4 linked regions of the Bombyx mori genome follow. The protein of the gene in region 1 interacts with the protein of each later gene in a pairwise test. Links are inferred from orthologs where the notes say so. Each region holds a gene or a part of one and is shown in the gene's direction. Other genes may lie near its edges.

Evidence for each region.
Region 2: the proteins of abl interactor 2 (region 1) and actin-binding protein WASF3 interact in a two-hybrid assay, tested with the Drosophila melanogaster proteins (2 studies listed by BioGRID, with this or other methods). The link is inferred for Bombyx mori from reciprocal best matches to the Drosophila melanogaster genes Abi and SCAR.
Region 3: the proteins of abl interactor 2 (region 1) and membrane-associated protein Hem interact in a two-hybrid assay, tested with the Drosophila melanogaster proteins (2 studies listed by BioGRID). The link is inferred for Bombyx mori from reciprocal best matches to the Drosophila melanogaster genes Abi and Hem.
Region 4: the proteins of abl interactor 2 (region 1) and actin nucleation-promoting factor WASL interact in a two-hybrid assay, tested with the Drosophila melanogaster proteins (2 studies listed by BioGRID). The link is inferred for Bombyx mori from reciprocal best matches to the Drosophila melanogaster genes Abi and WASp.

Annotation. Positions count from the first base shown.
Region 1 is NC_085115.1:8,782,390-8,788,607, reverse strand, and holds the start of abl interactor 2, read left to right. Parts: upstream 1-1,943; 5' UTR 1,944-2,218; coding exon 2,219-2,651; intron 2,652-3,968; coding exon 3,969-4,157; intron 4,158-4,643; coding exon 4,644-4,768; intron 4,769-5,262; coding exon 5,263-5,338; intron 5,339-6,083; coding exon 6,084-6,151; intron 6,152-6,218.
Region 2 is NC_085109.1:3,367,897-3,373,575, forward strand, and holds part of actin-binding protein WASF3, read left to right. Parts: intron 1-4,455; 5' UTR 4,456-4,491; coding exon 4,492-4,613; intron 4,614-5,679.
Region 3 is NC_085115.1:11,705,818-11,712,133, reverse strand, and holds the start of membrane-associated protein Hem, read left to right. Parts: upstream 1-2,118; 5' UTR 2,119-2,286; intron 2,287-2,518; 5' UTR 2,519-2,522; coding exon 2,523-5,900; 3' UTR 5,901-6,316. UniProt on the Drosophila melanogaster protein: Plays a role during growth of the oocyte.
Region 4 is NC_085121.1:15,502,040-15,507,718, forward strand, and holds part of actin nucleation-promoting factor WASL, read left to right. Parts: intron 1-2,630; coding exon 2,631-2,765; intron 2,766-3,671; coding exon 3,672-3,791; intron 3,792-5,188; coding exon 5,189-5,371; intron 5,372-5,679.

The DNA of each region.
Region 1 (6,218 bases):
GCTTAATTTGCATTTGGACTAAATTGGCAATACCTAAATCATGTGTATTCGTAGCAAAGTAATGCTTATACTGTATTTTTTAAATCTGAATGACCCTTATTATTTAATGGCTCCTTTTTTTTTTTTTTTTTTCTACCCTCAAGTCTCGAAATATTTGTAATGGCATGGCTAGGGCAAGTAGAAATGCAACACACCTGGCTGTTTGGCTGTGGCTCCTCGCAGCTGTTGGCCCTCGGCAGGATCTCGCCCGGCGGCCACATGATGGTCTCCGAGCCCATGTTGATGACTTTGATGTAGCCGTCTTCGCCGCGCAGCAGCGTCGCAGGCAGGGAGAAGGAAGCTCGTAGCCGTGAATCTCATGAAGCGCCGTGAAGCTCGTAGTGCCGCAGTGGGTTACTCCACGTTGTTGCTCTTCTAGTTTCCGTCCACGTGAACCAGAATGATGGAAGGACAGGGCGGCGGGCGCTCTTCGTCCGACGACGTCGATATTCCTTTGGTTTGATTGTTCCAGGTTCTTCATCATGTAGTTCAAGTATCGCCTTGTGGACCTCCTTCTGAAGCAAATTTTTCAACACCTTCCTCGCTGGTGGAATAGGAATTTCATCATCTTTTTTTTCCAACTTGTCAGAATACCGAGAGATCTGAGCGTGTATATGACGTTGTTTCATTTCTTTATGCCACTTCTGATTGTTGCAAATGATGTGACAATAAAAACCAGCAGCGTAACGATAAGTTCTTTTATTTGTGCAAGAATGCAGAAAAGTAGGTAGAAATGGCTGGCACGGCTTGTTTTATTAACACTATCCCCCCTTCGTTGGCTTTGGCTGGCGGCGGTGGCGGTGGCTGTGGCGGAAGGGGGCGTGTTAATATGGCTTGGCGGCTTGGCTGGCGGCAGGGCATGACAGCTGACGTCACGTCCGTTACAAAATACAGTTAACATAATTGACACCCGCCCGAATATGACGTTGGTTTTATTTCTCCATATTGGTTCACTTTTTCTAAGTAGCTTTTGGTCCTGTACCTAATTCCAGTATCAGGATAGATATTATTTTTTTATTTTGCTAGTTTTTTTTCCTATCTATTAGGGTATATTGTATGGTCGGTAGCCTAGGGCTAATTCAACTGCGCGCTGACTGGTATGTGAACTCATGGGTTCAACTTGGGAGGACTTCCTAACTCTAATCCTAGGCAGAGCAGTGCTTCGCTGAATCTACCACCAGAACGCTCAGGCTTATAAAAAGACAAGGTAAACTTGTCTTTATGGTGTAACGCAAATCGTGTGAATTTGTTGTGTATGCCGTATTTAAGTTTTTTATTTATTTATTGCTTAGATGGGTGGACGAACTCACAGCCGACCTGGTGTTAAGTGGTTACTCGAGCCCATGGACATCTATAACGTAAATGCGCCACCCACCTTGAGATATAAGTTCTAAGATCTCAGTATAGTTACAACGGCTGCCCCACCCTTCAAATCGAAACGCATTACTGCTTCACGGCACAAATAGGCAAGGCGGTGGTACCTACCCGCGCGGACTTACTAGAGGTCCTACCACCAGTGAAAATTTAAGTATTCATAGATTATTTTTGGCTAAAAAACTTGGTAAGTTCCTATTAAACCAAAAAATCCTGAATTGCAGGAACGGTGAGAAGATCTCAATTATTGCTTTACTTTCAAATTGGTTACAAAGTATGTGTACGCTAGTCACTAGCTTTATCTCGAAATAGCTGATTACCAAAACTTTTGAGTACCTAATGAAAACAATCGTCAACGTGAATTGTCAATCTTCAAAATAGATATTGCCACCTTATGATATTGTGTGGTGGAATTTACGCATTTGGATCTGCCGACCGAAATAGGTAAGTTAAAAATTAGACGGATTTGTGATTCTTTCGCTTTTTTTATTTTAGAAAATGCAACCTTTAATTGACATTGTTGACAGTAGCAGGTATGTCATTTTGTCAGAGGGCATACAAAATTTGACATACAAAAATTAGGGTGTGTTTGTAAATTTGTACATTCAATTTTCTTTTAGTGGGCACATAGTTTAGTAATAATTGGTATACCACCAATTAATTTGTGTTTTATCAATTTTGATATTAACATAATTGGCACAAAACGGTACATTTGGATATTAGTCAAATAAAAAAGTTGTTTACAACAATCTCTACAATACTTTAAAATTTTGGGTAATATTAACAAGGTTTCACAGCAGGAAATATGGCTGAGCTAGCAGCACTATTACAGACTGAAATTCCCGAAGGACGAAATCATCTCACCGATAGCCACACTAATCTTGAAAGGGTGGCAGATTACTGTGAGGCCAATTATTTTCAATCCGAAAATAAACGTCTCGCTTTGGAAAGTACAAAAAACTACACCACCCAATCATTGGCTAGTGTTGCATACCAGATTAATACTTTAGCATACAATTTCCTACAACTGCTGGAACTGCAGACCATGCAATTGGCTGAGATGGAAGGCCAGATGAATCACATAGCCCAAACGGTTGCCATACACAAAGAAAAAGTAGCACGTCGTGAGATTGGAGTTCTTACAGCAAATAAAGTCACCAATAGGCAATATAAGATCATTGCACCAGCAAACCCTGAGAAGCCAATAAAATATGTGAGAAAAAGCATTGATTACACAGGTATTTCATATTCTACACTTTGAATTACAAAAACCTTTTTATGAAATAGTTCAAATATCTATTTTCCCTATCCCTGGTAACCTCGAAGGGTAAAAGATAGGTTCAGTTTCACTGGCTTGGTAAGTAGGCATACAGGGCTAGCTTGTGAGTTTTCTAACACTTACTTTAGCAAGAGAAATGCTTTCCTCCAGCAGCCACTTTATTAGTATCGCAAGCCACTGAAAAAAAAACATTGATGGTATATAGAATGATGGTGTACATAATGTCCTGCTGAAGATTAAGAGAATCTATTAGATACAGGCCCCGCAAGACTGGCTATTATGGCCAACCTACAGGGTGGTCTATCTACAGCAGTGGCTGATGATGAAAATTATGACAAAATAATTTACATGTCTGCAGTACTTAACCCACAACAGTCTTAATGCTGCATGGTTACATAATAAACTTATCTGATTAAATTGTTTCATATTTTGTCAACAAGGTTGATGTGCACATTCCTCTTTAATTTTAAACAGGATTTTCTATTTAGAAACTACAATTACTATACTGTAAGAAAAATGCTGTTGGTTAAGTAAAAACCCTAAGCTTATTAGTCTATTAATTATTTACCCAATTTATTATGTGTACATAACAAATAATTGAAAAGTAATTACATTTAATATTGTTTAAGTCTTTGAAATGCTCTGTAGACAGAGGTCACGGTTTTTCTTGAATGCCCTGCCACTTCTTAGCTCTATACAGCATTTAGATGTGGCAGGGGAGTTACCCCTGTTTGACACTTTTAACATCACAAGAAAGATCTTTTGAAATGAAAAAAGGGACTGCAAAGTGTCAGGCAAAAATTTGTTTGGCTCTCTGAAACAGTAAAAGTAAAATTAATTTTTAATCCAAGTACAAGTCGACTTGTACTCTAAGACAATAAGAGTTCTTATTTGGAAGCTTTTTTTTTTCTACCTAAGCTGATAGCCTTGAGAGGCTATATCAGCGGAACCTTAACTAGTAGGTGAGCTCACGGAGCTCAAACCTGACGAAGTTGCTAACACGAACCCTAGCAAGAGCCGTGCTTTGCAGAATCTACCACCGGATCGGAAACGCGACCCACTGTGAAGATCCGGCGAGAAACTCAGTGGGTTGTATCTGAGGGTTAATTTACTCGTCGAGCCCTTCGTCGCAAGCGACGGGTTCGACGAGAACAGTGACCATTTGGAAGCCCTGCATGTTCTCTCTATTGAAAGTAAACTCACTTGGTGTGACTTATTTACCCTATTATAACTAAATAATATTAGTTGTTATATTACAAGCAATATTTTATTCTAGCTTTGGATGACATTGGGCATGGTGCTCACTGGAGTAGTGGGGCAACTGGAACACCGCGTGGGCGTCGCTCGAGCTCTGCTCCCGGGGTGGCTCCTCTACCGGCTCCAACAACCAAGCCTCCAACGCCACCTGCGGCTGTCAGGTCCTCATCAGCTGCCAACACTGGAACGCTTGGACGTGGAACATTAGGTAAAGGATCAAAAAGGCCGGTTTTTTGCACATAGAAAAAATTAACAGGACCTCGAGGTCTAGTAGCCTTTGACTTTAGGTTTCTTAGGTTAAATTTGGAAATACATTTCCTATATCAAGAATAATCAGGTACACAACTCTGCAATTTCTGAGCATGTTTCAGGGACAGTGTCACGAACTATTTCATAACATTCTAATAAAAAATTCACTAAAGAAAACTAAACTCCATATATAGTACTGAAGTTATTTAAATGAGATAATGCCCCAATTTCGATATTTTGTCGGCGGTCGGCATTATAGTGCCTTCATACCCATACAGATGACTGCTTTGCAGATCGGTTAGGGTGGTGCACGAGTAATTACAAAAACGAATAAATGATTGTAGATGATGATATTGTAGATTGTTGATTTTTTATTTAGTTGAAGGTAAAATGCTATTACTTATATTTATTATTTTCTAATTAAATTTATTAATATTTTTTCCAGGAAAATCTTCACGAGAATACCGCACTCCTCCTGCAGTAGCACCTCCTCAAGTTCCGTCACATTATGCACCAAACTATCCACGTCGCCCACCTGGCTACTCCACTTTGCCAGTTGCACAACCCCAAGTAAATATCAAATTACATCATATTTGACATAGAGTACATGTTCTGTATTTTGTAAATATTTGTAAGTGAGTATAACATACCAGAAGTTTGCCAGTGATCGAGGGTCGTGTGAGCCCACAAGGGTAGGTACTACTTCTCTACTTATTTATACCATGAAGCAGTAATATGTTCCGGTTTAAAGGGTGGTGCAGCTGTTATGTTATAGAACTGAGACTTAGTAGCCATGTATTAAGGTGCTTGTTCACCTTTCTAAGCAATAATACAATAAAAAAATAAATGATAATGTAATTAGGAGTAATTAACTCCAATACTTAGATATGCAAGTTGTAGATATACTTATAAGAGTTTTACCAAACATAGAATATATAAATATTATAATTATTATTATTATCAATAATTATATATACATATATTGTTATATACTGTTTGCTATACTGAATTTTAAATGTTTTATTTATTTATTTGGATTGTTATATCGTTTACTCTCATTACAGGTGGGCATGGTTCACCCGAATCAACATCAGGCACCAACAAACTATTCTCAACAGGAACTGCATTCCAGTATGCCACGTAAGTTTTAATGTACCTGTTATGTTAATTATTTACGTGGAAATCCATACTTTTGTCATTAATTTATATGTCATAATAATGTATACTCATGTTCGTTTACGGTTGTCATAAACTGACATAAGGCGATAGTTAGTGCCCCACAAGTCAACGCCAGATCAGCTGACAACGCTGAGAAACATTTGAAGGGTGGTAGACACAAATATCTATGGGATGTGAAATGGTTACCAAACCACATTTGGTGTAGTTCAATTCATGAAAAATAAGACTTAAACAACAGACAGTGTTGCATTGTCACGATCTTCATGCAAACTTATCAAAAATACATAGTTCTCTTATACCTGCTATTTCATTACATGGGTGCCAATGAAAAGCTACTTCATTTTAAACAAAATATCTATACTAAAAATATATTTTATTATTTTATGGTATAGACAGGTGAGTGAGCTCACGGTGGTGTTAGCTCTTACCGGAGCTCAGAGAGATTATAACCTCAATGCTTCCTTCCACCTTGAGACGTGAGGTCGAAATATCAATTACATAGTATATCAGCTTATATCTTAAATATCCTGTACCTGATATTTTCCAATAATCAAAAACTAACATTTATGTATAGTGGAACTGAAACAGTATTGTATATTAAGTGAAGTTACAAGGAAACGTTAGTGTTAAAAGTATAGGAATTAAAAGTATAAGTAAATTGTTAAAAGTAAATGTGGAGTATGTATTGTTTTTTGTACCTTTGCAGCTCCGCCGTCTCCTTTGATCGGATCTGACGGTGAACACAGTCAGCATTCTATGAGTCTTCCGGGACAGGTAGGAATCTCTATTACAGACAAAGACGTATTCAATAGTCACATACGAGGAGGAATCAAAAAGTAGT
Region 2 (5,679 bases), on another chromosome or scaffold:
TACAACAACTAACGTACCTTTAAATTATTATTGATTGACAGTCGAAATAAGTGGGGTTGTCGTAGCTACGCGTCCGGGCTCATAAGACACCCTACCACCAGTAGAGTAAGTTCCTCATTGTTCAAGAAGCTGTTTCATATATTCACTGATTTACCTGTTTTTTTTTGTTTGTTATGAATTACCCAATATGTATTCTGCGGATGCCACTACTAGCTAATCGTATTAAGAACGTATGTGTTTATTCAAATCTAATACGATCATGACGTGATAACGGAAACGAAATTAGTTCGTCACTTTAATAGAACAGCACGCATCGTGTCTAACACGCCACACATCGCTTTGTAAATGCACACGCCAACTTTACTAATATTTTATCGTAATGCCGGCCACTCACATGCGCGCAAATATTCGTACATTGTACGAATGTTTGCGCGCATGTGAAGGGCCGTCAAACATTCATTGGCAAACTTAGCGGCTGTGCAAATGGGTTCGGAACTCAATTTGCGAACCCGGTTGCGCTTCCTCCTACACTTGTTTACGAATGTCTCACGAATTTCTCCTCCTTTTTAATTCGTCAATAGAACATTGAAGAGAAAAAGAGTTTTGAATTCTTTCCCAGACATCATGAACAACCATGCTGTTTTTATGGGATTTATTTTGATGAAGATACGCTACACAGTAGACGTCACGATCTATGAAAATAGCGAACGTCCGTTGCCTTCGCAATCCTGGGCGCAACTGGTCACACGAATGTGTGGGAGACTACGCGGAGGAACGCGGTTCGCGCGCTTTGATGTCTGTTACAAAACCGATACAGCTTGGAAAATCACGAATGCAGCGAAAACTTTGCATAATCATTTGCAAATGTTGTCCTACACTTGCGGGTTTGCGTATTCGTGCGAATGTGAGTGACCGGTATAAGAAACACGTGCGAAGCGTGAAACTCCGGAAAACAGTCGAGCGACAGACACTCCAATGTAACCCACGTTGAGGAGTCTTAATGTTTCGCTTCAATAATTCAGGTAACGACCAAAACCCAAGTGTCGGACTTTCCAAGCGTACTTTCGATTCTTACAGAAGTCCGTACTTACAGAAAGCCGACAAAAACAGGTTATATAATTGGAAACGAATATTTAAATGTCGCTTTCCCGACCTTTCCCCTTATGTGTTCGACAACTTTTATTCGCGCCCCCCTCCAAGCGTTTTCTTTACGGGGAATTACTCTAAGCTAGCTTCAAACAAGATGTACACATCAGAAATATGGTTGGGTTGCTTTTTGAAAAGATAAAAATGTTTTTTTATACGGATTAGAGTGTAGGTTCTTTGATGTCCGGTGACGATGCTCTTGCGAATACTGTCAGTTGCGTACCTTCCATTATTTTCAACCACCACTATAATATATCGAGTAATCTAATAAATAAAAATGATGTTGTCTTTTGCTGTTCGTTTGTTTGTTCGTATTTTATGCACTGCCATACCATTTTAGGTTTTAGGCATAGTATAATTAACTTACAGTAGGTGGAGCGCGAGTAATTTATAAATAATAAATTTATTTATTTATTTTTATTTATTTATTCTTATTGTACACACAAAGAAAATACAATAAAAAAACAGATTTAAAGAATGTCTAAATACTATGTACAAAGGCGAGCTTAACTCATTCATGAGTTTTCTTCCAGCAAACCAATAGCAGAGTGAAATACGATGTATAAGAGGGGAATAGTGTACAATATAAAAGCTATTAAAGCATGATTTTTAAACTAAGCTTTAAAAAAAAAAAAACTAATATAAAATGAAAAATACATATAAATAAACATACATAAAACAATAACTTAAATACAATTAAAGTGACAGGAAATATTTCTTCATTTGACTCTTAAAAACTTCTAGAGAGGAACTAGCACGAATAGGTTGAGGGAGAGAATTCCATAATCGCACTGCTTGTATTGTGAAAGAGCCACTATAGCGGCTAGAGCTGTGAATGGGAGTTTTTAAAAGAAGAGATGTGGCTTGTCGACTAACTCTGCCGTCAGGAATCAGGTATTCAAAGCGTTCACGGAGATAGATAGGGGCATCGGGATTGTGAAGAATAGAATAGAGAAAAGAGAGAATGTGGCAATCACGACGTCGCCTAATCGGCAGCCACCCCAGCTCAGCCCGGAAATCAGACACATGGTCATACTTCCGGAGACCAAAAATGAAGCGGATGCACAAATTCTGCAGACGTTCGAGTTTATCTAAAAGCAATTCAGAAGCATCTAGAAAAAAGTTATCAGCATAATCGAGAAGAGGAAGTAAAAGCGTTTGGGCAAGAGAAATTTTAGTGCGAAGAGGCAAGAATTTTTGAAGGCGTTTCAGAGACTGAAAGGAGTAAACAGTTTTTCTGCTTACTTCGGAAACGTGATTAATCCACGAGAGGTGACTGTCGATGTATAAACCTAGATTTTTTACACATTTCGAATACGCTATCGGAACGTTGTCGTAGAGGATGGGCGCTAACGAGCTGTAATCGAGGAGGCCGCACATATATCTACCACCAACAATGAGAGCTTGCGATTTCGAAGGATTCACCAAAAGACCAAAGGACTTTGCCCAGTTGTAAATCGCAGAGAGATCCACGTTGATTGCCGAAATGGCAGCCCCAACGTCAGCAACCCTCGTATGGCGATATAGCTGCAAGTCGTCTGCATAGAGATGGAAGTGTGAAGATATAGATTGAGAAATTGTGTTTATAAACACAGAGAAGAGGAGAGGAGAAAGTACGCCACCCTGTGGAACACCCGCAGTGAGGTCACACCACTCAGAGAAAGACTCTTCGTAGCGAACCGACTGCGAGCGTCCACGGAGGTAAGAATTAAACCACTGAATTACCGAAGACGAGACATTAAGAGAGGATAGGATACCGAGAAGAATGTCAAAATCAACTGAATTAAAAGCATTGCTGAAGTCCAGTAAAACCAAAATAGTAATTGATTTCCGCTCCATGGCCAAGCGAATATCATCGGTGATTTTCACCAACGCGGTGACAGTGCTGTGACCTGGACGGAATCCAGATTGATACGGACTCAGTAGGTTATTCGAAGAGAGGTAAAAAGAAAGTTGTTTTTGAACAATGCTCTCGAGGACTTTGGAAAAGATCGGAAGAATAGAGATGGGACGGTAATGGGATAAAGAAGAAGGTTTTGCAATTTTAGGTAAGGGTAGGACATGAGCCTTTTTCCAAAGTGACGGAAAGGAACTGGACTCAAGAGAAAAATTTATTATGTGGCAAAGGATAGGAGCAAGTTCCTCCATGATAAGTGTGAACATTATAAATGTGTGTTTTGCATACAATTAACGATTATCACGGCGGAACGTGACTGTTTTCAGCGAGCTATTAATGAACTACTATCGATGTAAATAAAATACAATAATATTTTCAAATTATTGATATCACCGACCTTGTGGCTCTAATGTCGGGAAATAATTCTTAAATTATATCGTAAATATATGAGCGAGCTCACGGTCTATAGTGCTAACGGAGCCCATAGGCTACATAGCGTGAATGCGGCCACCCCTCTTAAAATATGAAGTCCCTTCTGTTGCATAATTATTGTTTCATCTCCTTCTTGACCCTTCAAGCCCAAACGCTTATGGTACACGGCAGCAATGCGCCCGGTCCACTAATAACAATATCAATGAATAGAAAAAGCATTTTGAATCAACTGTGGTAGCATCTTGTGTATGTCTTAGTAAAACATTCGCACATTTCAGTTTCACCTGTGTAGGCTTTTGTAATGCCCTCAAAGTAGTAAATTTCTACGTTAAATTACATTTGAATTAAAATGACATGTGCATGATGTGCAATGATGTGTGCATTTATGTTTTTGTGTCCGCGATCGATTATCTGCCTTTGTTTTAAGCGCGTTATTCGCAGAAGAAGTGCCCGTTGCAAGACGCTTCTGATCGTAAACATTCTTTCCTTACAGATCTGTAAATGTAATACCGTGTAATTTTTCCCTTCAAAGAGGAATGGATTTCTACGTTAATAGGTTGATTAGATTTGAATTAAAATAAGTTTTATTTTAATTCAATGCATTTTTATTTTGTTTTTGTGTCGGCGATCGATTATCTGCCTTTGTTTTAAGACGTTGCAAGACGCTTCTGATTTTTTTTCTTATTTTTTCTTATTGCTTTGATGGTTGCTTACAGCCAACCTGGTGTTAAGTAGTTACTAGAGCCCATAGACGTCTACGACGTAAACGCGCTACCCACCTTGAGATAGAAAGAAGTTCTAAGGTCTCAAGTATAGTTACAACGGCTGCCCCGCCCTCAAACCGAAACGCATAACTGCTTCACGGCAGAAATAGGCAGGGCGATGGTACCCACCCGTGCGGATTCAAGAGGTCCTAGATTGTAAACATTCTTTCTTTACAGATCTGTAAATGTGTAATACGGTGTAATTTTTCTGAGCAGTGATGCAGACGAGGTAGCTGGGAGGTGGACGCAGCCATGCCGCTGCCGAAGCGCTGCGTGGAGCCGGTGCACGTGTCCCGGGGCACGGTACCGGAGCGGCTCTCGGTGCCTTCGGAACTGGAGGCCGTCACCAATGGCACCCTTGCGAACACTGTCAGGTGCGTACTATACAACGTTCCCTAGACCCCCACCTTACTACGCATTAAATTACATAATAAATCTAACTTTCAACTAATGATCGATCGAAATTTGACCGCAACCTTTGACATCTCAAGATTTCAATAAACATAACAAAAAACGGTTTCTATTTTTTAATACGTTTTTATTAGCTTCAGACGTATGTATGTAACGGAATCTTTGAACATGATTTTGACCCCCTTCAAAATGTCGGATTAACTCGAAATTTGGCATACTTATTAAGAAGGACCAATGACAAATCATTGAAAAAAAAAATAATTATAAAATCGAAATTCAACTAAAAAATGAAAAATAAATAATGGTTTAAAAAAACTTACACAATACGCTTTTATAGAAAATCCAACTAAAAAATAGAAAATAAATTTTAATAAATTTGAATTAAAAATAGTGTAAGAAAAAGTGATTTTATTGTAAAAAAGCGTGGGATGCTTTTCTGGATATTATCAAAATAACCCTTCTACTCATATCTGTTCATTCTTACTAATAACAATAAGATCGTTAATGTTTCTAATTATTATTAAAAGAATTATTATTAAAAGAATTTGTAGTTTATAAATTAAAAAAAAGAACAAGCTTAAATAGCTAACCGAGTTAATAATGATTAATTTCATTTTTTTTTATCCTGTTGATACTGGTTCGGATTATAGAGCGAATTTTTTTTTTTATTGCTATTGAATCGCGTATGCAAATTTTCAAGTTAATCGGACGTCTTGATTGGCGAAAATGTCGTTCAAAGATTCCATTACATACAAACAAATAAACATTGCTTGATAAACAGAGTTGAAAATGGTACTTCTTAGCTATTTTGTTTTTGTCTATAATGAATAGATTGAGAATGAAATGATCCAGTCTCATAATACCTCGTGTCAAGGAACATGTCAGTCGTAATTCGAATACCCTTAGGTCTTCAGTCCTGTACCACTAATATAAAATATGATAGTTGTATAGTCATTCCATCATGTCACAGTGGGTTTCAATTAGCAGAAACCGGTGAAATGACTCTTCAAGAAGGAAGAGATAATTTTC
Region 3 (6,316 bases), about 2.9 Mb from region 1:
CTACCACCGGATCGGAAACGCAACCCACTGAGAAGATCCGGCGAGAAACTCAGTGGGCTGTGTCTGAGGGTTAATTTACTCGACGAGCCCTTCCTCGCAAGCGACGGGTTCGACGGGAACGGTGATCGGTGCTTGAGGTACCTAAAAGCACCGTTAGTGGATCGGGAGGATCCGAAATGACGTGTTTGGGGTGATGTCGACTGCTTTCCATTCTTTTGATTTAGCAAGAGAAATACGAGAACATCTATCAACTGTGTGACATCTTATGACCGTGATTCAGGAATTGTTGAATTTACGTGTAGGGACATTTGCTGATAACAAACGCATGGTTACAATCAATCCTGTCACCCCGATTCGGCTAGATGTTGAGTTCTGGGACACTCTGTATATGACACAAACTTCTGTAGACTATACACAAACCATAAACATTTTTTGTACTCCTGTCCTACCTGAAGTCTCAGTAACACACATTACAAGATTTCTCCTCATGTCATCTGATTTTAATGGAATTAAATTCTTTTATTTCATAAAATTTCATCCCTTTTGATTACCATTTACAGATGAAACAACTTCTTTTAGTCCGCTTCATTTCATTCTTCTTGAAAAAAGTTAAATGTGTCACGTTAAAATTGCAGACTATTTATACTCGACGCCAGTAATAATGGTATCGAAAACGTCCTTACGCATTTAACAGATACATTAACTCTAGCATTAAGCCCCTTCAATTCTAATTAGCACTGGGAGCAGCTTAAGTGCTCTACCGACTGGTCAAACTCGGCAGAGAGTTCGGCGTGCAACCCAACCGCCCCAGCCCGCTGAGTTTCTTGTCGAGTCTTCTCAGGGAGCCGCGATTTCAATGCGGTAGTAGATTCATTCGCGAAGTAGTTGTCTTTGATTTGTTAAGTCTCCTCCGGAGGCGCTCGGGCAGCTGTTAGCAAATCCCATCATTCTTGGTTAAGTCTGTGGTCACCCACATGTCTTGGTAAAACTGGAAACGCCTCCGGGCCACCAGTAGTACTTCCTTCCCAAAAAAGGCATCGCAAGAAGGCGATTGCCTTACGGAAAAAATATAGCCGACGAGAGTAGTAATCTGTGTGAGTGAGACAAGATACAATTATAGTGGACTTTTTGGCGGGAACGCGAGGAGTGAAGTTGTGTGATTTGTTTTATTTTGTCTATTTAGTGTTTCTTCAGGTTTAAATGTGTAATAATGGTGGTTTATTAACTGTTTAATATCTGTGAAAGTGCACAAATGTGGGAAAATGAAACAAAGCCGCTGGACGTAACTTCTCGGGATCCTCCAAAAAGTCCACTGAAATAATCTTAGTAAATGACCACCATTTTACTGAGATTATATTTCATCCCATATCATCTCATCTCATTTCATTTAATTTCGTTTAATATCTGTGAAAGTGCACAAATGTGGGAAAATGAAACAAAGCCGCTGGACGTAACTTCTCGGGATCCTCCAAAAAGTCCACTGAAATAATCTTAGTAAATGACCACCATTTTACTGAGATTATATTTCATCCCATATCATCTCATCTCATTTCATTTAATTTCATCCCAGTTGATTAATGTCTCAAAAAAACTTTTTCATTTCATTTCACTGCATAATATCATTTTTCATAAAAATATATTATAAATTAAAATAAGACATGACTTAAAAGTCTTAGTTACCAGGTCATAAAATCCCTTAAAAAAAATACAATTATAGTGGTGACTTTTTGGCGGGAACGCAAGGAGTGAAGTTGTGTGAATTGTTTTATTTTCTCTATTTAATGTTTCTTCAGGTTTATATATTATTATGTAATAATGAAATTAATGAAAATGAAATAAAGCCGCTGGAGGTAACTTCGAGGGATCCTCCAAAAAGTCCACTGAAAAAATTTCAGTAAATGACCACCATTTTACTGAAATTATATTGCATCCCATATCATTTCATTTAATTTCATCCCCGTTATTTAATGTCTCAAGTTAGTCATCTTGATTTCCTTTCACTCCATATTATCAATTTTCATATGTAAAATTAAGAATATAAATTAAAATAAGACATGACCTAAAGGTCTTAGTTACCAGGTCATAAAATCCCTTAAAAATAATCTATGTTAAACAGTCTGTTGTGGTCATAGATTATACACTTAATATGTTGTGGTCTGACACTCCCTAATTTTAATTTATTGAGAGATTTTTTACGTCCAACATAGATAGTTTGAATATAGTGTACACAGAAACATGTGTATTAGTTGACTTCTAGATAAAGTGACTCGCTACATTATTAGCAAGGTACGGCTCGCGCGGTTATTAACATAAAACATTATCTGGTCTTGTTAGATATCTTGACTTAGTAAATCATGATCTCACATCATTGATCATCTTCTCGAATGAATACAGCAACAATTTGTTATTCCCCTTTGAACGGAAATCCTAAGTTGTGTAATTCTAATAGATAGGAAATAACATTATTGTATTATCATTATCTTTCATAGTTGTGAATCCGCGTACCTTTTTATTGCAGAAATATGTCCACATTATCAAGATCCCTGAATATTAGTCAGCAAAAATTAGCTGAGAAGCTAATTATACTGAATGACAGAGGTATTGGTATTTTAACAAGAGTTTACAACATTAAGAAAGCCTGTGGAGATGCCAAATCGAAACCAGCATTTCTATCTGATAAAGCATTGGAGTCATCAATTAAGCACATAGTTAGGAGATTTCCCAACATTGACGTTAAAGGACTCCAAGCAATTACACCAATACGGAATGAAGTAATCAAATCATTGTCGCTATATTATTACACATTTGTAGATTTGTTAGATTTTAAAGACAATGTTTGTGAACTTCTTAACATCATAGATGCATGTCAGGTTACTTTAGACTTGACATTGAATTTTGAATTGACAAAAAACTATCTTGACTTGGTTTTAACATATGTTACACTAATGATATTGTTGTCTCGAGTTGAAGATAGAAAAGCAGTGTTAGGTTTATTTAATGCTGCATATGAATTGCTACAGAATCAAATTGAGAATAGTTTTCCCCGTTTGGGACAGTTGATTGTTGATTATGATGCTCCATTGAAGAAATTGTCTGAAGAATTTGTGCCACATCAAAAAGTACTAGCAAGTGCATTAAATTCTCTATGGCATGTGTATCCAGCTAGAAATCTTTCTGCTGAACATTGGAGATCGGAGCAAAAGCTAAGCTTAGTCAGTAATCCAGCTCAGTTACTGAAACCATCAGAAACAAACACAATGTCTTGTGAGTATGTATCATTGGAGTCTTTGGAGAGGTGGGTCATATTTGGTTTTGCACTCTGTCATCAGATGCTCCAGCAGGACCATGCTAATAAAATGTGGGTCAATGCACTAGAGTCAGGATGGGTTGTGGCATTATTTAGAGATGAAGTGATTTACATTCACAGCTATATACAAGGTTTCTTTGACAGCATAAAAGGCTATGGCAAAAGAATATCTGAAGTAAAAGATTGTTACCATCATGCAGTACAAAAAGCAGGATACAAACACAGAGAGAGGAGAAAATTCTTAAGAACAGCTTTGAAAGAACTGGGTCTAATATTGACTGATCAACCAGGATTATTGGGCCCAAAAGCTCTTTTGATTTTCATTGGCCTCTGCTATGCAAGAGATGAAGTATTTTGGCTGTTGCGACATAATGATAACCCACCACAAAAAGTGAAGGGAAAATCTGCAGAAGATTTGGTAGACCGTCAACTTCCTGAACTTTTGTTCCACATGGAAGAATTAAGAGCATTGGTTCGTAAATATAGTCAGGTAATGCAGAGATACTATGTGCAATACCTTTCAGGCTTTGATGCTGTAGCATTGAACATGATGATTCAGAACTTGAAGGTATGTCCTGAAGACGAAAGTATAATATTATCATCTTTATGTACTACTGCAGCAAATTTGAGTGTCAAACAGGTTGAAGAGAATGAGCCATTTGATTTTCGATCATTCCGTTTAGATTGGTTCAGACTTCAAGCATATACATCTGTTGTCAAAACCCCCTTGAGTCTTGTTGATCAAAGGGAACTGGCTCAGTTTATAGACAAAATGGTATTCCATACTAAAATGGTAGATAACCTTGATGAAATAATGGTTGAAACATCTGATCTGTCAATATTTTGCTTTTACAACAAAATATTTGAAAATCAGTTCCATATGTGTCTTGAGTTCCCTGCACAAAATCGGTATATTATAGCATTCCCGCTTATTTGTAGTCATTTCCAAAATTGTACTCATGAACTATGCCCTGAAGAGAGGCATCACATTCTAGAGAGAAGTTTGTCAGTAGTCAACATATTCTTGGATGAAATGGCAAAAGAAGCAAAAAACATTATCACCACTATATGTGATGAACAGTGTACTATGAGTGATAAATTACTACCCAAACATTGTGCACAAACTATAGCTCATTTAGCTAACAGAAAAAAGAAGGATAAAAATAAGAAAAACACAATTGAAATTGTTAAGCCTGGAGCAGAAAGTTACAGAAAAACCAGAGAAGAATTGACAACCATGGACAAACTTCACATGGCTTTGACAGAATTATGCTATGCTATAAATTATTGTTCCACTGTAAATGTTTGGGAGTATACTTTTGCACCACGAGAGTACTTGCACCAACATTTGGAAACTAGATTCTCTAAGGCCTTGGTTGGCATGGTAATGTTTAACCAAGACACAAGTGAAATTGCTAAGCCTTCTGAGTTGCTTGTTAGTGTTCGTGCATATATGAATGTGCTTCAAACTGTTGAAAATTACGTTCATATTGATATTACACGAGTTTTCAATAATTGTCTTTTACAACAAACTCAAAATATGGATAGTCATAAAGAAAAAACCATTGCATCATTGTATACACAGTGGTACTCTGAGATTTTACTGAGACGGGTCAGTGCTGGTAGTATTTGTTTTTCAATGAGTCAAAAAGCATTTGTTAGTTTGACAGCCGAAGGTGCTATACCCTTCAATGCCGAGGAATATTCTGATATTAATGAGTTGAGGGCATTAGCTGAATTAATTGGGCCCTATGGTATGAAACTGTTAAGTGAAACACTAATGTGGCAAATTGCAAGTCAAGTACAGGAATTGAAGAAACTGGTTGTACAAAATAAAGAGGTGTTGCAGATGCTCAGGACTAATTTTGATAAACCAGAAATTATGAGAGAGCAGTTCAAAAGATTGCAAAATGTGGATAATGTACTACAACGGATGACCATAATTGGAGTCATATTGAGTTTCAGACAAATAGCTCAAGAGTCATTACTAGATGTTTTAGAAAGGCGTATTCCATTTTTGATAAGTTCCATAAAAGACTTCCAGCAACAGCTGCCGAGTGGTGATCCAATGCGAGTCATTTCAGAAATGTGTTCTGCTGCTGGCTTACCGTGCAAAGTGGATCCAACATTGGCATCAGCTTTACGTCAGCAAAAATCAGAAGTTGAGGAGGAAGAGCATTTAATTGTATGCTTGCTAATGGTGTTTGTTGCTGTGTCTTTGCCTAGACTAGCTCGGAGTGAAGTATCTTTCTATCGACCTTCCCTGGAAGGTCATGCTAACAATATACACTGTATAGCTCCAGCTATCAACCACATATTCGGAGCTCTATTCACTATATGCGGCCAGGGCGATATCGAGGATCGAATGAAAGAATTCTTAGCTTTAGCGTCATCATCTTTGCTTCGTTTAGGGCAAGAAACTGATAAAGAAGCTACTAAGAATAGGGAATCAGTTTATCTTCTATTAGACTTGATAGTGCAGGAGTCACCCTTTCTTACAATGGATTTGTTGGAGTCATGTTTTCCATATGTATTGATACGTAATGCTTATCATGAAGTTTATAAACAAGAGCAGATGCTTCTGCATATGTAATTCCATTGTATTTAAAGACAAATTAAGTTTTAGCATTAAGTATTACTGTAATTAGGTTTAAAGATATACTATTAAAATTCAGGGTGTAAGGGATCAGTTTCTGAATCAAAAAGGGCAAGAAACTAGTACCTTAATGGAAATTAAAAACAATAATTATCCACTAAAAACTTAATATAAAGTAAACATCTTGACAAAAGTGCTGGTAGATTTTGACATATCTATATGTAAAGGTGAATATCACAAGAAACACTGTTCCCTTCCATCAGTTTATTTGACTGAAATAGCAGTAAAGGAATAAATGTTTGGATTTTGCACCAGCCTTCGTTTTTGGGAAAGATTCCATACACCCTGTATAAATACAAGCACGGACGCACTTTGAGATTATTGATAAGTACTATTATCCGGTTTTTATTGTG
Region 4 (5,679 bases), on another chromosome or scaffold:
GTTGCTATTCACTCGACGATTACTTATAATAAAATCTATATAGCTTCATTTAACTTTTACAATACAATTAAATTGTTGTTTTTTACTGTCTTATCTGACTTGATTTAACTTACAGCCCATCGAGTGTAAAGTTTGATGTCTAACTGTCAATGGTATTTCATGACTACTGTCGTACTCTCCAAAACACGATGCACAACTGACATGAATGATTTGCTTCATTACGGTTTAGTTTCTTTTAGTCTTGCCTTAAAGACAATCTAATAAAAAAGATGTGTGGTGTCGTGGGACACTGGATAGGAACGAAGTTCCTTATTAATATAAAAATATTAATTTAAAGTTCTATTTGAGGTATAAAGAAAATAAAAAATAAAACTGGAGGTTTCGCAACAACCCACGGTCATTCGGTAACGTGCGAACTTATTGTGGTACACTTCATTCACGGTTGTTTGCATAAGAGTATTGCGCAAATGAACGCTCAGAGATCGTGGTCAATGAATGATAAAAAATGTTATTTTTGTACGTTATTACAAAGTTAAGTCGTACACTGTGTGGATTACTAATAAAAATCTTACGTTACGGACGTTTTTTCCCGGTTAGGGTACTCCTCCGCATCGTCCCATAAGGAACTTCGTTCCAAAAAACTTATTGTCTCAGGTCTTCGTTTAGTGTGGTCACACTGCACGTGACGTCACAAGACGAGCGCATTTACCGATATCACGTTTGTCATTGTTGTGCGTGCATTGTTTATTAAAAGACTCCTCATTGTACTTGTCGGATTTAAGTACGTCTATATTTATTTGTAAATACACCGTTCGTAATATTTGTATCATGTCATACATTGTCTCACAATACAGGTGATATGTTATAACACAATTTAAAGTAAAAATATTATACTATAATTGAATCAAATGGTCGAGGCTTCGGTAGGCAGCGGTTTGGCTCTACCGTCCGTGAGCGACGGTAACCACTCACCACCAGGCGGGCCGTATGCTCGTCCGCCGCCTACAAGGGCAAATAAAAATAAAAGTGAATTATTAAATAACAAATTTGATATAGGAGAGATGGACTCTACCCCGCTTTGAACTTGGCGTTGCTAGTTTTACAATGAATACGTACCTTCCGAAGTTGTTTACGGAGAAGTAGTAGAAGAGAGAAAAGTATTTATTTCCGACCGAGGAATTGTTTGAGATGATGTCGTCATCTCTTTTATAATTGCATCATCTGACACCGAAATAAGAGTTCATACCGTCCACTTGGAATTGCTGCGTTCATCGACAGTGCGTTTTGCGATGTAGCAACGGGTTTTTTTTGTGAAGGAAGGTATACTGGTGGCCTGGAGGCTTTTCCGTTTTTGTTTAATATTTATTTTATTGCTTAGATGGGTGGACGAGCTCACAGCCTACCTGGTGTTAAGTGGTTACTGGAGCCCATAGACATCTACAACGGCTGCCCTACCCTTCAGACCGAAACGCATTACTGCTTCACGGCAGAAACAGGCAGGGCGGTGGTACCTACCCGCGCGGACTCATAAGAGGTCCTACAACCAGTAAAAAACTTTCTAACACTCCGCCCGAGCGCCTCCGGAGGAGACCTAACAACTCAAGAGCAGCTTTACAAATGAAACCATGTAGTTCTGGAATGAACGCTCGGCTCTTATAACTGAGCGCTATGATATGTCTTTCTCTAAACCAAGCTCGAAAATAGTCTTCAGTCGTAGGTAGCGACTTGGCTGTATAATGCTAATGTCCATCAGAGACGATAAAATGATAAGAGAAGATAGCTCGCCTGTATATGAAGGCCATAAAACACACACACAATACAAATAAATAAGGTTTTCTTATATTTTATTTATCTTTGACTTTGACAGATCTGACGAACTTTGTTCCGTCTTAGAGGCAATAAATGAGCAGACTTGATTTTATCAGGTCAATTTTTTATTTGGATAATTAGTGTAAATTAAAAAAGCAAGTATTTTAATGATTCTTTATTGTTAATGTATTTTAGTTATTATTGTTATATTTTTATTTCTTGTTTCTTCTTTAGTCGCTTCACTCGCAATGTTTCGAATACTAGTTGCATTACGGCTTCGTCGGGAAAGATTTGATCGTGTTGGTCGCGGTATGGCTTTCTTAATGATTACTTGTCTCAGCACAATAAGCTAATAGAAACTGGAAACGAACACATCGACCGGTCAACTTCAAAATTCTACTATAATTAACCATAGACTACATTACGTTTAGCTGTCAGTTGCGTTTTGTTATTCCATATCAGTTGCGTTTTGTTATACCACGTTTTACGTCACGTACCACGGAAACGTGATAAAAGGTATCCTTGTCCTGGTTGTAAGCTACCTCCCCACCAATTTTCAGCCAAATCAGTTCAGCCGTTCTTTAGTTATAAATAGTGTAACTAACACGACTTTCTTTTATATATATAGATTTTGAGTAATCTTCGGAATAGCGACTAGAAATAACATTTTAGTGTTTTAGAAGCTTGAAAAAGTAAAAATTCAGAGATGTGAAGGAAATAGTTTCCACTTAGTACCCGTGATTGTTCTCGTGTGTTGTTGGTTGTTTGCTTTCGTAAGCCAGGATGTAAATAACGTATAAAAAACCATTCGTATTTTTCAGAAAGGAGGCAACGTGCCTTAACGGCGGCACGGGCCAGTAGCGTGGTGGAGCCGAGACAAAATGGCGTCCTACCCCCGCTCCCGGCACCGGAACCGGAACCTGCACCCGTACTCCCACCGAAAACGAATTTAGCAGGTGAAAACTACTTATAATATTATATTCCTATATTCATGATCATCTGATGTAAAGTAATGCCGACTTTTTAGCGAGGCGGGGGGAGGCGATCTTCACGCATTTCGCGTCCAAGGGGCGCGCGGGGTATGTGGGTCTTGACGGTACGCAGATTTCGGGAACAGATCGCGAGCCTACGATGTTTTTAAAGTCCTACCCACCAAACTACTCCCTTTGCACCCTCTCACGGCATGTCCGATCTTTACTCGAGCTCAGAACCCGGGCAGAGTGGTTCCCGTGGTCAACACTACAACTAGACTCGCTGCGCCACTACTAGGACGCCCGACGGACGACGGCCCGTCCCGTCGCCCGGGCGCCCGGGCGGTACCTCTGGTGCTCCGGGATACCGCACTGAAGATCCCAAGACTAAGACCCCAAGAAAAGGGCGACCTAAGTAAAGGGATTTTTTCGCTGCTATGTTGTGTGTTGTGTTAGATCAATGGCATTCTATGACATTCTAAGAAAGAAAGAAAGAAATCATTTATTCGCTAAGCATAGTGGTGGTTTTATACTTGTGATAGGACCTCTTGTGAGTCCGCACGGGTAGTTACCAACACCCTGCCTATTTCTGCCGTGAAGCAGTAATGCGTGTCGGTGTAAGGGGGGGGCAGCCGTTGTAACTATAACTGAGACCTTAGAACTTATATCTCAAGGTGGGTGGCGCATTTACGATGTAGATGTCTATGGGCTCCGGTAACCACTCAACGCCAGGTGGGCTGGGTCCACCATCTAAGCAATAAAAAAATAATGAGTTATTACATAAGTTAAAAGCAGCGTGTATGCTTTGTCATTATTTGACATGCGAATTTTAGTGCAACATCTACAATATGTATCAGAGAGTATGTGTAATAACTTGTAATGATCGCCCAGGTACGTACACACTGAAGAGCTCCGGAAAACGGAAAACGACAAGGAAATTGACTAAAGCCGACATCGGGATGCCTCACAACTTCACGCACGTTTCTCACATCGGATGGGATAAAGATAAAGGTGCGTGGATCTTTTCTTTTTCTCCTTTTTTTTTTAGGTATGGCAATTGGCTTCTTGCGACGCCATTGTTGCCAGTGTCGAGTTCATAAAAATCTTCAATTGTAAAATACATACTAATATTCTGTTATATGAAGTAAAATAGGATGAAGTTAATTGATTTGACTATTTAATCGATTGGGATAAAATTAAATGAAACAAAATTTTATTGTGTGCTTAGTGCGAGTTTTTTAACGCTCTCGATAGCATAAAAGTTAACTTTTTGTATGCAGTTATAACAGCGCCCCTAGCGGCAAACGTAGGCAAACGTTCTGTTATGGGAATTTACTCTGAGGTCGTTTTAAAAAAAGGAAACTTTTAAGATTCGAACTATTTTATTTTATTTATACAATATGGATGATATACGTAATTCTCAGAGTAACCGCGAGAGCCGCACCCGTACTCTAAGACAGTTCACTCTCTACTGACTGTTCTCCGGTCTCCTTTAAAGTCTCTACCTCGAACCGTCTAGTCAGCGGTTTGAGGGTATCAGCATTTTAGGGTTCAGTACTCTGTACATATAATATAACAGTTCCAACTGCATACTAATTGGAGTTAACTATCAGGCCATCGAGAACGTTAAAAAACTCGCACTAAGCACATTGAACATTATTTTTATAAATGACTAGCTGTAACGGTCCGCTTCGCTGGGCATTTAAAATTAACATTATTATTTCTCACCCCCACAAAGATTCTCATCATTAACACCCCCGTAACTGGTGTAGGGAGTTCAACACTCATATAAATATTAGCCTATCCATTAAGTACATGCATATTCTACATGGATACCAAGTTTCAAGTCAATCGGATGCATGGTTCAGTAGTTATAACGGAACATCCGTAAAATAAAAACCACTGTAGATTTATATATTAGTATAGATAACCGATAGTCGCACAACGTCGCCTCTTCATTTGTAGCCATGAAGTCCAAGTCTCAGTTATGTTACAATAGCAGTGGTCACAGCGATACACAGGATCCCTTCGCGACTGATTCGCACCAGGACCTGGTGATGTCCACCCGTGCAGACACCCTCATCACAATGATTCCACTTTCGAGATTTGGATAGGATAGATTTGGATTTGAACTGGTGGTAGGACCTCTTATTACTGGTGGTAGGACCTCTTGTGAGTCCGCGCGGGTAGGTACCACCGCCCTGCCTATTTCTACCGTGAAGCAGTAATGCGTTTCGGTTTCAAGGGCGGGGCAGCCGTTGTAACTATACTGAGATCTTAGAACTTATATCTCAAGGTGGGTGGCGCATTTACGTTGTAGATGTCTATGGGCCACAGTAACCACTTAGCACCAGGTCGGCTGTGAGCTCGTTCACCTATCGAATTAATAAATATATTAACGTTTTCAGGGTTCGACGTGGAGACCACACAGGACGAGAAGCTCCTGTCGTTTCTGAAGGAGGCAGGAGTTTCGGAGGTCCACCTTCGCGACCAGGAGACGAGGAAATTCATATATAGCTTCATAGAGACGAACGGTGGCATTAACGCTGTCATGGAGGATCTGCACACAAACAATGAGAAGCCAATCAAAGGTATCATCAATCATCAATTTTGAAAATCGTCGTCGTGGCCTAAAGGATAAGACGTCCGATGCACTCGTGTTGAGCGATGCACCGGTGTTCGAATCCCGCAGGCGGGTAACAATTTTTCTAATGAAATACGTACTCAACAAATGTTCACGATTGACTTCCACGGTGAAGGAATAACATCGTGTAATAAAAATGAAACCCGCAAAATTATAATTTGCGTAATTACTGGTGGTAGGATCTATTGAGTCCGCGCGGGTAGGTACCACCGCCCTGTAAGCGGTTACTGGAGCCCATAGACATCTACAACGTAA